Styela clava: one gene and its partner. Each later gene encodes a partner of the first gene's protein in a complex. Links are inferred from orthologs where the notes say so. Each region holds a gene or a part of one and is shown on either strand. Other genes may lie near its edges.

Evidence for each region. The genes of interacting proteins can lie anywhere in the genome.
Region 2: uncharacterized protein LOC120345914 (region 1) and transmembrane protein 17-like share a complex: the UniProt entries of both Homo sapiens proteins name them as parts of the tectonic-like complex. The link is inferred for Styela clava from reciprocal best matches to the Homo sapiens genes AHI1 and TMEM17.

What each region holds. Positions count from the first base shown.
Region 1 is NC_135257.1:13,083,205-13,090,810, reverse strand, and holds the start of uncharacterized protein LOC120345914, read left to right. Parts: upstream 1-4,491; 5' UTR 4,492-4,605; intron 4,606-6,798; exon of another isoform or gene 6,799-6,859; 5' UTR 6,860-7,020; intron 7,021-7,097; 5' UTR 7,098-7,235; coding exon 7,236-7,291; intron 7,292-7,606. Other genes in the region: uncharacterized protein LOC120345286, read right to left, coding at 1-139, 220-322, 406-468, 968-1,165, 2,079-2,168, 2,525-2,651, 3,018-3,135. UniProt on the Homo sapiens protein: Involved in vesicle trafficking and required for ciliogenesis, formation of primary non-motile cilium, and recruitment of RAB8A to the basal body of primary cilium.
Region 2 is NC_135257.1:13,532,968-13,540,709, forward strand, and holds the start of transmembrane protein 17-like, read left to right. Parts: upstream 1-4,497; 5' UTR 4,498-4,535; exon of another isoform or gene 4,536-5,898; intron 5,899-7,742. Other genes in the region: dual specificity tyrosine-phosphorylation-regulated kinase 3-like, read left to right, coding at 230-432, 1,065-1,210, 1,498-1,635, 2,215-2,347, 2,983-3,079, 3,231-3,476, 4,069-4,189, 4,377-4,497. UniProt on the Homo sapiens protein: Transmembrane component of the tectonic-like complex, a complex localized at the transition zone of primary cilia and acting as a barrier that prevents diffusion of transmembrane proteins between the cilia and plasma membranes.

The DNA of each region.
Region 1 (7,606 bases):
ATTCTAGAGGAGATTTTGCTTGAATATTTTTCGTAACAAGGAGAGTAGGAGATGAAGCGGCTTTACGTAATTCTTCTGACGCAATACGTTTTTTTTCTTTTTCCAATTCTATTTTACGTTTGTTTTCTTCTTCTACCTTCTGAGAAAGTTGAAAGAAGAAATATAGTAGTAGACTTAGTTGTGTAGTGTAGACTCATTTATTTACTAAATCTGCCTGACCTGCGCTGCTATTCTCTTGATATCCAACTTTGTTTCTTCTATTTTTTGCTGAATTGACTTTATCGTACTCATTCGCACTCTTCGTTCAAGATATTTTTTCGCACTATGAATGAAAAATCCACGTCGTTAATGAATAATAAGCACAAATTTTGAACCAACCACATTTTTCAATGATTTTCAACTTACAGTGAAACCCCCCATTCATGTAAAGTCTTGAACTTTTGAGCATTTTCGCATTTTTGTTGTTCTATTTTGAAAAAAAATGGTAGCGATTATATTTACTGTAACATATATTCGCGAGATATAATAACATGTTAAAGTCGTCGTGTTATCAGCAATACAGTAGCTTGTCACAATCATAAAAACGTTCTATATTGCTGGCCACGCCACAAGCTTTGTCGACTCTGGTATTTGGAAATTCGAGGATGATGTAAAAAAACAGTATATGGATGGTCATTTGGGGAGTGTTTTATAAAATATATAGTTCGGAGATCGTGTATTTTCTGATCCCGCAATGGCGCAAACAAGATAGATTTTCATATGAAATTGACATATTATATGAAAAATTTGTGATTACCGAAATCTTTTCTAGATAACGTTTATTCAGTAACCTATAACAAATGCTGAATTACCGGGAAACAAAGATCGGGTTAATAAGTTATTTCAAAACATCCCATCGTAAAATATTATTCAAATAATTACTTATTCAAATTTGAATGAATGAAATAATATTATAATTCTCTTTCCTGCTCTCAGCTGCTCCAATGAAACAATTTCACCGTCAATAATATCAATTTCTTTCAAAACATCAGCCTTTTTTATTTCCATTCTCCGCGTTTCGTCTTGCAATTGCATTAGCTCCGATGCACCCGGAAACGACTTGTAAATTCTTTTATAATTTTCAAGCTTTTCCTCCTGTCCATTTATCTTTTGTTCAAGTTCCAATCTTAAAAATATCCAATACATAATTACGTAAATTAGTATTATTCAATTTTATTGTCTTAACTAAAGGTTTGATCTTAACAAGTGTTCTGCTCTCCATTCCGGGCTCAAAGTATACCTCTGAAGTAACCAAAACCACGGATATTGTGAAAGAAATTTCAATTAATATTGTGAAAGAAATTTCACAATTGGTATTCATTTATTTAAAAATCGTTTGTATTGAAGTCAGAGATGAAACTCAGATCGGGTCATTTCCTACAAACTCTCTTGCAAATATGATTTCATTAGACCGATGCGTATGCGGACCGATGACCGGATGAGCGCAACTTTCAGTGAGGAGCGAATAAAGTGATGTACATAAATATGGCAACGCGACTTTTATCATAAATAGAAATTTGATAACGCAACATCCACAATTTCGAAAAATATTGTAACTGCTAAATGTGTTAAAGTAAATTGTATTCAACATGATGTTATCTATACGGCTATGACTTATTTATGCTTCATTGTCAATAAAATCGAAAATTCCTTCAGGGATGTCCGCGCCTTATAGGCTGTTAGTCCGCTTCTTAACGTTGTATTACAACTTATGGATGCAATTTATTAGGAGACGTTTTTTAGAAAATTTCACAAATGCATCTCAGAAACCTTTGCCTATCACCTTTTAATACGACTACTACAATTTATATATTTAAGGCATAAACGAATTAGGAAGGGTGGAAAATTGAACTGCGTGATGATAATAAAATGTGATCAAAAAACAAATATATATTAACAGAAACTTCCCTATAATTTTCTAAATATATGTGTGTACAGTATATCATTAGCGAAGATATTGGTTTCTGATCCACCAACCAAACAATTCTATTCCTTCAACTTTATATCGGGTCACATATTCTTAAAGTAACAAAGCGAACCTTCTTTTGGCCTTTTCCTCTACTATTTTCTGCAGCTCTTCAGCTTTTGCATTTGTATGTTCATCCAAGAGTCTATCATTTTCCTTTATCCTTCAAAATATAAAAAGAAACACTTTTTGTATATTTTCTGGTTTATAAAGTTTCTCAAATATTGGTCTCATCCATCCACTCCATCCAGGTTAATAGTAATTAATCGTTTTTTGATCATTTGAGAAAATATATCATTGGTTCTGTACTCAGTAACAAAGTCTTTTTGACAAATTCTCTATTCTGCAGGTGGGTATGATTTAGTTAAGTCTTATGACTCATGTTAACATTCTCTTATCAACGGGAGCAAATAGTTCCGTAATTTAGGGAAGTAAAACGCAATGAATTTCTTCAATACTGTAAACAACTGTTATGGTCATTTTGTACGCGTAATACCAATATTTATAACAGTACGCAACCTTTCGAGAGTTCGTTTCTGATTCACATAAACTTCGTGCATTTGTTTCACAGCCTCATCAAGCTCTCTTGTTTTATCTTGAAATATATGAATCCTCTCTCTTTTACTCCACAATTCTTCCCGAAAACCTAAACAAGTGGGAAAAATTCAATCAATGTCTCGTCAACGGAGAAACCGATTTGGCTCATACGTTGGTAAGTAGGAAAAGTTCAAGCCAAAAGTATCAATTTTGACAATGTTAGCAGCTTGTTAATTTGAGCTCCGATCTGCAAACTATTGAACTAAATGTGCATTTCATACCAAAACCCGACAAGACATTGCGTCTATTCTAACGTGCCTTGTTGGCCCTTCCCAGGATAAAATTGACGGCCACATCCGACGTAATCGACTTAGATATAAATTATAGAAAGGAAGAAAACTTTCGAAGCCCGCAAATTTTGAGTCAAAGGAATTAGATTAGACTATTTCGAAGATACCGGTAGTGTTAGACTTACTTTTTATTATTTCTTCTTCCTTTTTTATTTTTCGTCGCTTTTCCTGTACATCTGCATTGAGCTCATTTAAAAACTTTTGCAACGCGGAAGGAGCACCGCTACCTGAAAACATAGCCATGGCTTTTATAAAAGTGAATTAGCAAGTAGGCAACTCCTACGACGACGTCAATGAATGGTGTCTATAATCATTATGACATCCTATACGTAACAATGACCATTTAGCAATAAATCAACTTCGTCGTAACAATGCCAATTTGTGCAGTCGCTCATAGACACTTCTTTCGCTCAGACTGATATTCAAGCAGGGTTGGTTGAGAATTTTTCAAGCGTCAGGGAAACGTCCATGAACCTTTCCCCCAGCATCGACTTCCTCGTTTACTTCGTGACATTGGCCAATCAGCGAATTGCAAAAAGTGACGTAACAATGCTCCCTTTTCGCATCCGCTCAGACACTTTTCTCACTCATACAGATTTTCAATCGTGGTCGTAAACATTACCTAGTTTTCGCATTTTTGAACTCTATTGGTTAGTTTTCAGTTGTGTTTTGGAAACTTAAATGTAAATCAGATAATTCAATGGTCACCCTGTCTTCCTAGGAGTTTTAATTTAATTGCAGTTATAAAAATTAGTGTAGAAATAGCTGTGATAGACTAGGCTAAAATTATTCAACGGTACTTTTAAAAAACAGATTGTTGTATGCGATGAATCATAATGATGGTTTGAAACACATACCCCATTTCACAGGCGCCAACTCGCAAAAGCACTCTTAAAATAGCCTCAAAAAATTTCCTCTCTCCCGGGATAAAAATTTGCAAATCCTAATCTACCTTCCTTGTGACTAATGTATATTAACCATTTTTTCACATTCCACCTTTGAAAACAGCACTGCGTCATAGGGTGTCACAGCTCTACACATAGGGTGTCATGGCGGTGTGGCTCATCGTACCAAGCGTTAGGATTCATAAACCTCAATATTAGGAATACGCTCGCCACCGCACATGGATGGTTATGTGCGAGAGGATTGCTGGACTCCTCGCCGTCGTAGGGTGGTTCACGTAACCGCTGGTCGGTTACGGCTTCCTCCACCACCAAGTCCGTGCTTCCGAAAAAAAAATAACTAACTAATCCCATACCCGACATGGAATAATACGGTAACTGGACGTGGCCGTGGTTCGCCATATGGTCAAGCCGTCTTATCGACTTTCCTCTCTCAGGATAAATATTTAAATCCTATCATAAATCACCCCTGTAGTTTTCTGTCAATCCCTTCACTCGTGAGTAATGATTGTTCATATGTATGTTTGATTTGCACATGGTGATGAATGAATACTAGATGCAGTAGTATTCATTCATCACCATGTGCAAATCAAACATACATATGAACAATCATTACTCACGAGTGAAGGGATTGACAGAAAACTACAGGGGTGATTTAGGAACCGGATTTGAATCCGAACGCCAACAATCCCTTACAAATCAATGAAGCATAGTGTCGTATATAAATACTTTTGAACAATTTTCGTTTCCAAGTACGCCATCGTTCTGTCCGTCGACTCAGGAGGAAGTTTTTAGGCATTCATAAATCAAGGTAAAATCAGTATACCAGAATTCTTTGAAGTATTGGAAGAAATATTTGAAAATTATCAAATAACAAAAGACATGAAATTGGGATATACTACTTTAATTTATAAAAAGGGAGAACCAGACCAAATAGAAAATTACAGACCAATAGCATTATTGAATACAGACTATAAGATCTTTACAAAAATATTGGCAAATAGGTTAAAAAGTGTATTACCTGACATCATAGATAGACATCAGTATGCAATTCCGGGAAGAAGAATATCTGAAAATCTCATTTTGTTGAGGGATTTATGTACTCAAGAACATAATAAACATGGAGAATCGAATCGATAGAGGAATTCGTCAAGGAGATCCGTTAAGTTTATTTTTATTTATCATAGCAATTGAACCTCTCCTAATTAAAATTAATTCCCATAAAGAAATTATTGGCTTAAAAATACCACACAACAGAGAAATTAAACACATTAGTTATGCAGACGATGTCACATTGACTCTATGTAACAAAAGCTCTGTATATTCTGCAATGGATTTGATGACAAGATTCAAATTAGCAACTGGAATGAAGTTGAACATAGAGAAGACTAAACTTTTAAAATTAGGAATATGGAGCAATCCTAATTTTTTTTCACAAGTACCTGTTGTCTTGACTTTAAACATACTTGGAGTGGTGGTTTCAAATCATGATACCTGCGATGAAAACTGGCAATACTGTTTAGATAATGCAAAAACTGTCATAGATGAACTTTCAAATATTCCATTATCATTAGATGGTAAATGTCTGATAATAAAATTGAAAATTCTACCTTTGTTTTTATACTGTGCAAGATTATATCCCATCCCATTAAAAATTGCAAAACAAGTGAATGTTTATATTTAACAAGAAAAGTTTATATTTAATGGCAGAAACATATTGAAAATTGAGACACTGTGCAAAAACAAGGCTGTTGGAGGCTATGACATGATAAATATTCCTTTACTATGTGTTTATATGTAATGACTGCATTCGACTATTATTGTGATAGGATTAGTAACAAAATTGAGTATTGTAGACAATCAGCATTCAATATTATTGAATATAATATTGGACAACAACTTTGTTTATTACTTAATATACCGATTAATAATAATGTGACACATGCTTTTTTTCCTTATAAATATTATGGAGAGTTGCTTAATTTTCTTAGACAATATAACATAACCGGGGATGATTTAAAACAAGGAAAACATAGGGTACTATATAATAAAATTGTGAATAAATTGAAGGGCGGAAACAGAATTGTATTTCTTCGTAATGGTACAATTGAAGGAGCCTGCTCTGAAATACATTGTAAGATATTGTCCAATAACATAAAAACTTTCAATTTTAAATTAATGTGGGATATTCTTTCTGTTAAAGTAAAGCCCAGAATTAAACATATTTCTGGGAATGATTTATGTGTGTTTTGCACACAAGAACCTGAGTTTGTTTCTCATTTATTTTGGAAATGTCCTTTTACGCAAAATGTTTTTGATTATATTTTTTCTGTTGCATTAAAAATCAATCATTGTGTACTGAATAATAATTACATGACTTGTATTTTACTAGATTTAACTCACCTATGTTATTCACATTTGTCCAAAATAGAACGGAATGCTATAATATTATTATTTTGCACTGCCAGACACAAAATTTGGCTTGAAAGGAATACAGTAATTTTTCAAAAAGTTAATCCAAATGTTAGCAATGTAATCATGAGAATTAAGAAGTCACTTATAGCAAGAAGAAATATAGAAAAGTTGAGACAATATCCTAATTTTACAAGAGAACTAGATATCATTTATAATAACTTGTGAATTTTTAACGATGTGATATATAGTATCAAAACTAATAGATATTAAAATTTTTTTTTAATAATTAATACTAAAAAATATAAATAATGATCAAACATTATGGATTATGGAAATTACATGATGGACATATCAATGGCAATGGGATACTATGGACAATACAATCAATGGACTGTAATGAAATGCTTTGTTATTTTTGTATACTTGTTGTTGTTGTTGTTGTTCATATATTATTTTATGATTTTTATATATTGCATAAACCACATTGTGGAATCATAAAAAAAAAAAAAAAAAAAAAAAAAAAAAAAGTATACCTTTGTGAGTTTTGTTCATAATACCAGGCATTCATAAATCAAGGTAAAATCAGTATACCTTTGTGAGTTTTGTTCATAATACCGGGCAGGCCAACAGCGCAAGCTTGTGATTTGCAGGGCTACGTTAGGAATTCACAACTCATACTATTTTCAAATTTTGGCCAGTATGCATGGTATGGCCATTCAGCGATTGGCGACCATGGATCAGATTCCTGAATTCCGTGTCTGTCCTGCTTGGGAATGATCATTAGTAACTGGATAGACTCAACTGATTCAGGGTATTAAATATTACTGTATTATTTCTTATCTTCAATTGCAAATACAGAAATTAAAACTGCAAAAAATATTTTTACAGCCCTCTAAACTGTTAAAGCTTTTTTGAACACTACAGAACTAAGTCTGCAAGTCAACGTTGGTAGGCTGAATTTCTTGCTTTTGGACATAATTTGAAAGATATTTGGGAAGAAAATTTGTAGGCTTTTATAATAACAGAATGACCACTGATCAGACCAGACAAATTTTTGAACAACTTTTAAAAGATACAGGAAGGTAACTACATTTTCATTCTATAGAGTTAATGGCTGCCTTCTTTGTCAGCATCATTATTTCTCAGCTACTAATCCATTCATTTGTTATATCTTTAGGCAGTTAGGGTACATCTATGCCTCTGGCAAACTTGTGATGTTATAGTCTAGTTATTTTTCGACGGCATTGACTAATAAATTATATTTCATTCATTTATTCTGTTTATTATATTGAACATACTGCTGTACTGACATGCCTCATTGATAAACAAATTTTCATAATTTTCGTGAAGCAACTGTAGAGTTACTTGGTGCAATTTTTTATTGAAAATAGTGTTTT
Region 2 (7,742 bases), about 450 kb from region 1:
GTGGCAGCATTCTGCCATGTCGCGGGATCGCAAAGGGCTGTTACGCCCTTGGGTATGGAACAATGCAAACAAAAGAGAAACGATAAATGATCTGTAACTATCAAAGCTGTACGCATAACCAGCGGCTATACGGAGTTGTTGCATATAAATTAAAATATTTTTGTTTGTGGGACACAATCAGGGACACAACGTGGTACACGATTTGATAAATACTTCTCATTGATTACAGAGGCAATACGGAGGTTTGGGAGTAAATTACCATACTGGGAGAAATATGAAATTCTCAACTATCCAAAAGTATATTACCTCGGATTGAATGCCAACAAATCTCAATTGAAAGAAGACGGCAAAAACAATTTTGGATTTGATTTTGATACATCGGTTGAAAAAGAATCTGAGGGAAATTATGACGTCGGAGGTCACTATAAAATGGTAATACATAACTATATTAGTTTTGGGTCTATGGAGTCGTAAAATATTTCGAATCAATTACGGGTCATTTATAAAATCAACTCCGAAACATAGGTTCATTCGTTGACTTTGGGTGTGCTGATTATCAAGTCGAAATAAACCTAATCACTACTTATGGTTTCATCACTTTGATGAAAATGTTACCAATTACAATTCAACCAAACTTTTAAAAGATTTTCTTGGACTAACCAAAAAATACTAGACGATACTGATAAAACGGAAACACTTCCCCAACCTCCAAGAATATAACGTATAGAAGTGTTAGGACAAAACTGAAAGAACATGCTATATTGTCTTGCCATATTTGAGATGAACTTATCTGAAGATTTCAAAACTCGGTCAGACAACATTTTATTAGCGTGCAGCAAAACTCCTGTTTCACGTAGAATAGTCATAATCCCTACAGCGTCTGTGTATTATACGCATGCGAATCCACCAGAGCAAAGGTATGCGGCAAGAATGGATCTCGTGTAACCCAAACGGATAGTTGACAGAATACTAGTTTGATTATTATTACATGATGAAGAGAAAACTCCACTTTATATTTTTGCATGTTCTAATCAATTCAATTTTTTTTGTTCTATTATTTTAAGGTTCCTGGTGATCATATCGGTTACAGATATGAAATTATCAAATACATTGATACTGGCTATTATTGCGATGTTGTTGTAGCAAGAGACTGGTCAAATCCAATTTTAAAAAATGTTGCCATCAAAATCATGCGTGTTAGAGGTCACGGGTGAGTAAGTTATAATTAAATGCGGTTTTATCGATAAATCGATAACAAATTCACAAAATACCATTCCACTTTATTTTAAACTAATATGCACTCATTATATTTTGCATGTGACACGCCGGCACAGAAGGGCGTATCGTGATACGTTTCTTGATTATTTATTTAAATGTAAAGCCGACTTTCGTGCATTCACGAACGAATTTTTCAGACGGATTCTCAATTTATCGCTAAGTGGTCACTTCCTCGACGCTGAATTACTCCCCTTTTAAAATTTATTTTGTATTTTCCAGCACGTCAAGATTTTACTGGAGAGAAGTAGGTATTCTGCAGTACCTCAATTCCAACGCTCCCAATTTGGATTATTTTACACGCATGTTAGCAACCTTCGAATTTCGCAACCATCTCTGCGTAGTTTTTGAATTGTTAGGGTCAGTATTTGTCTCAGAAATAAAATATAGTGTATTTTATTGAAAGAGGTAGCTTATATTATTACATTTAATTGTTCGTTTCTATAATTACATAAGGGAGATCGTGCGCTCTCGGGAGTTGATGTTGTAAAAAAAATCTAATTTGCAACTATTGCATCAGTCAATGTTAAATTTTACTACTTGAATCCGCTAAAAGGATATATAATATATTAATCCTCTTTTTTTTCAAGTGCGATATTTCACTCAAAATTTTGCTATTATATTTAAAATTTATATTCATTGAAACACTTTTTATGATATAGCAGCACATTTTTCCGAAGCAATTGCTGGCTTATGTCAGGTCGCCGTCACATTTCTCCACCGATCTTTTCAGCAAAAAAACTAAGTTAAAAAGCTGAGGCGGTACGTGTTCATCCAAATATATGAGCATTGCTCTATTATTCTGATTTACTAAAATGCTTAATGAATAGATAACATGTTATGTGTTTTCTATACATAGCATGCTATCTATATTTAGATGCAGCATTATTCTACTTTTACATGTATTGTTCACTTACCAAACTTTACTGTACTTCACAGGGGAACTATTGATTTAAAATATTTAAAACACTCTGTGCGAAACACAACTTCAATACGAAGATATGCAAGTGATGCTTTGCATGGTTTGCGTATTCTCAAAAAAATCGGTGTGGTGCACGGAGATTTTAAACTGGTAAATGCATTATATTGTCACATGTTGCCATGTTGCAAAATTATTGTTAATTATTTACAATTTTACCATAGTGTGTAATCTTACCTGATAGTGAGAATTAGCAATTTTAATCAACGAGAAACCGCACTTTGGGAGTACACTAGAACTTTGCTAATCCAAGTCGCTGACAAACTAAAATTCAGTGGCACATAATGCATCAGTTTTGTGCCAGGCTCTTTTTTATTGTATTTGAGTTGAATAGTTTCTCATCAGTTTGCTTATAGGTGTGTGTTCAGCAACAACTCTTGAAACTAAAAACTAAAGAGAACTTTATACAAATCCATACTGTTGTTTGTATATAGCTTGTGTAGTAACGATTCTCTGATCTTCAATAACTATAGTGGGTGAATATGTACAATAAAATGTTCTCTATCCTTCAGCTTTCAAGAATATTTACTAATCCATTCCACTTCGCATTGTTATCAAATAATATTATCTGCTTATATGCGCTGAAAGATAATAAAACGGGTCGTTAAGGTTTGAGACACGAAACTGCGAGGAGTTTGTAGGCCAGCTCCTTTTATTAATCGCATGAGAAATTATCCGCTGTGCTAAGCCATAGCAATAAAGCATTAAATGTTTGTATATGTTTTCAGCACAACCTGATGTATATTCATGGAAAAAATATTGAAAGTAATGGACAACTGATAAAAATAGGTGATTTTGGAGGAAGCTGCATTATTGGTCAGCCAAGTATGTCTTTCTGAAAATATGATATTAAAATTATATTATTATATTTTTTGTTGCACAAAGTTCATAAATTTATCAACTTTTTAAACAATTGGTGAAATAAACTAAAACAATGATATGAAATGCCTTTGAAACTGGACTTATCTTTTCACAGAATGTGGATATATGTATTACTTTATTACTCGACCTTATCGTGCTCCTGAAATAATTTTCCACCTGCCACACACAACCCAGATTGACATGTTCAGTTTTGGGGTTTGGCTGGCAGAACTGTTTTTGGGTCAGCCTCCATTTTTTGGCGAAGATAATGAGGAAGATCATTTAGGAGCAATGATGGAAGTACTTGGGCTTCCTCCAAGTCATATGATTGCAAGGTCACCTAGAAAGCACATCTATTGGGGTAACTACGTTGATAAACTTTGTCTAGGCATTGGCTGAAGTGATGTTATCTACTAAAAAATACTGTAGTTATTGTAAACAACATTTTTTGTTTTGTTTTATACTTCTATTTGACACCACGTTTACTTATGGATCGTTTGGTTATTATAATGTCGCTGTTGCCGTTAGTATTTCTTTTTTGTTGTTGTTATGAAAAATCTTTCTTCTTTCTGATTACTCGACCAATTGCTTTAAAATGTTCAGTGGTTGTACTGTTGCTAGAAGGCTATTACTTTTATTTATTTTAAAAATTTGTGTAGGCTCTATGGAAGCTTTATGAGATTAGTTTTTTGTTTACGAGGACACCATCAAAATTACTACTTCGTTTTGGCTTTCGTGTCCATATATCTGAGCATTGCTCTCTTGTTTATACGAAGTATATATATATGATAAAAATAAAACAGTTTCAACGATTCGATACAGGGATAAACGCTGAATGCCATTACTTTGCCCACATTCTTATTCCTTGTTGCATCAGGGATTTTGCAACCTACATTGCTAACTAATTAATTCTTTTAATTTTTCATCTTTGTTTTTTTCATATGTTTGTCTAGATGCCTTTCGTCACAAAATTCACGATAAAGGGACACATCGAAAGCCTTACAGTAGACCGTTGTTGAAAGTTTTGGAAGGAATGGACTTAGTGCTAATTGACCTGATTTGCAGATGCCTCGAGTAAGTTTTGTTGAAAATCACTTAAAACGTTGTGTGTGTTTGTCTAGTCATCTCATACATCAGACTACACCTTTCTTGGGTGTTTTTCCGTGCGTACTTATCCATGAAACCGCCACTATGTTATGGCGACATCCTAAAATCAAGTTTAGGATCTAAGCACTTGGTGATTTATAAACTTCACGTACAGATGGGACCCTAACCTACGCATCACACCTGAAGAAGCACTTCGTCATCCTTTTATGACTGGAGCAGAGAAGAATTTAGAAGAATATCCAATAGTCATTCAACGATTTCTAGGGAAAATTTAGTGTGGAAACTTGGCAAACGAAATTCACAACAGACGGAGGTAAATCGCCGCCCAGTGCGCTGGGATTCCAAATTGTCAACAATCGTCATTGGCTACGAAGATTGTTTTCGAATAAAGTGAATGTTCAAATAACAAGAGAGACGCAAAGCACACCCTAAAATTAAGGAAAAGTGAAGAATATTAAAGAACGTTAAAACAAAATTTTAATTGGATTGAATATACGCGTACGTGTATGTCCGTGGTTCTCAAACGCCTGAATGAGTCGTTTAATTTTCCAAGAGCGTCGTAAAACAATTTCATTAGCAGAAAATACTCAACTCAACTTAGTAAATACAATAGTAGAAAATTGCACTGCAGTGAAGCTCTTGACAAAAACTGCTAATATGACGTCCTGTTAGCTGGGACCATGAGGTTTCATTACAGCTTAAACTCTTTGGACAATTTATAGATCGCTCGCGTACCCCCAAAAGTTTTGACCACTAACCTCAAATTGCTCTGATGCACAACTTATTTTCTACATCTAGGCAACCCATTATATTACCTTTTAATTTGTTGAATCTATGAAATTGATTATTTCAGTTCAATATGATGATAAATTTGCGCTAAAGTTATTCATAACAATGTAATCCCAAGCTTAACAAACACTACAATCAAAGTAACAATATGTCTGATAACCGGAGGAGTGGTCGTGGTTCTCCATATGATTGAGCTGTCTTATTGGCTTCCCTCTCACCTGGGATAAATATGTAAATCATATCCTAATATGATGGGCGAGCTCATTACTAAAATCACGTTCAGGTGCTTTGAACTGTGACATGCATTTTGAGCAGCACTAAAAATGCCGACTCACACAATCAAGTTGATGGAAACAACAACAATGCTTGAGTTTAGAATCAAAATAAAAAAATCATACTTTAAGGAATTGACAATTTTTTTTCATTTGTTGAGTTGCTGAAAAAATCCCTGAAATTCTTCACGAAACTCATATACACGTTTAGAAACATTTACCCCGGAAAACCATCGCACATTACTGTGAAATAGTAGTAGGCCTACACTGTGATCGTCGCTCAAACTGCCACGGAGAACGTTGTTCAAATATACCCATTGAAACGTCGAAAAGTACCTCTCGGGGTAGGCTACCATACGTGTACCCCAGTTTGGTGACCCCTGGTTCAGAGCTTATCTTTTACCAATTTCTGATTAATAATATTTATTAACATAATAATTTGAAGAATAAAGTTTTTAGAAAGGAACGCATCGTTTATTGCCTGTATTGCATGATGTTTTACTTTTATACACGTATGGAAATAAGTATAAGTTTATTTCGACTCCATAATCAGCATAAAAGACGATAAAATAATTGATAAAAACAAAATAAATAAAACTGATTATATAATATATGGAACACAGCAAATTACACTTTCCGTTGATTTTTGTTGGTAACGAGGGAGGGAGAGAGAGAGGGAGAGAGTTTATTTGTTTTGTTCATTAGAAAACATATACACAACATAAACATAATTAATAAAAAGCAAAACAGTTCTCGGTACAGACTTGGTGGCAACGATACGGGTATCGGAGTCAGTTACCACCCAATATTAATATAAATAGACATGAATAAAAAATGCTTCAGATATGATTTAACATATTTCAGGTGTGTTCAGAAACAACGTAAAGAAAAAAAAAGGTTTACATATACACAACAGGCAATTACATATAAGCGTTTAAAGCTAAATAAAATTTCGGACAAGTTACACACTTGATCAAGTGTGGTATTGGTCAAAATTGACATCAATATGTATTTTTGAGTAAATGGAGCATCAATTGTTTGGAATCGGGTATTTCAAGTTGAAGAATACATAATAACATTTTGTGTAAATGGTGAAAGACTTAAGGCAGCATATATATAAAGACATTAAACTAGATCACTACAAAGTAGCAAAATAAATTTGAGCAACTGTGTATAAGCGTAGTAGCCTAGTATTTATTTACGGTATAAGATACAAAAAAAATGCAAAATCTCAAAATTGAGCTTAAGCTGGGGCATGCAAAATAATACAGTTATAATATATATTAGTTATATATGATAATATACAAGATAGGTTAAATTGTAAATTTCTCTAATTCAAACCCGTGGGTTTTAGCAATTTATGCACCACTTCTGATTCTAGACTAATCAGTCGTAGACTACACTTGTCACCATAGTAACATCAACGTCACTTCACTTTAAACGCAATTCGGATTGGAAATTATCTACTTTGGATATTGTTATAATAAAGATAATTATGTCTTTTAGTGCAGTATGGCCAAAGTGATCGCAATAAATAGTTGTCAACCCCATCTTTCAGTGTATACCGTATCCGGATATTTTCAAATATGAAGGTTATGCCCTGTGGGTCTGCTGGTCTGGGCCTGGCAAACCGCGCGGCGCGGCGGTGTGGCTCAACGGGCTAAGCGTTAGGAATACGCTCGCCACCGCACCTCTAATTACTCTGCGTGGGTTCGCAGGTTCGAATCCCATGCAGGGATGGTTATGTACGAGAGGATTGCTGGACTCCTCGCCGTCGTTGGGTGGTTCACGTAACCGCTGGTCGGTTACGGCTTCCTCCACCACCAAGTCCATGCTTCCGAAAACAAACAATACAGTAAAACTAATCCCATACCCGACTTTGAATGGTAACCGGACGAGAGGCCGTGGTTCGCCATATGGATAAGCCGTCTTATCGGCTTTCCTCTCCCCCGGGATAAATATGTAAATCCTATCCTATCCTAACCAATGCAGTGACGGCACAACAGAGCTAGGTCAAATTTAAGATTCTGAGTTTAATAGTCTTGTTACTGGGCTGACACAAATATAGTTGGAGTCTGGTATAGTTTAGTACCACATGCACTTCTAGTTGGCCTGGCTCAACAATTTTTGCATATGTCAATCCTAACCCTCACCTGACTACGTCACCCAAAAATTACGTCATTTCGACGCGCAGACGAGCACCCGAAATCGAGCAAGCTATCTCTCTCGTTTTCTCGTCACAACGATCACGATAGGAGAGAGATCGCCGGCTTTAGCGAGTTCATTATCAGCGGCGCAGATGTCATTTCGGGCGATCCTAATTATACTTTGGCAAGACCTATGACGTGATGGTGACGTCGTAGTGACGTAATTTTTGGATGGCATAGTCAGGTGGGGGTTAGGAATAACATATGCAAAATTCGTTATGCTACGCCCACTGGAAGTACCTGTGGGCTGTG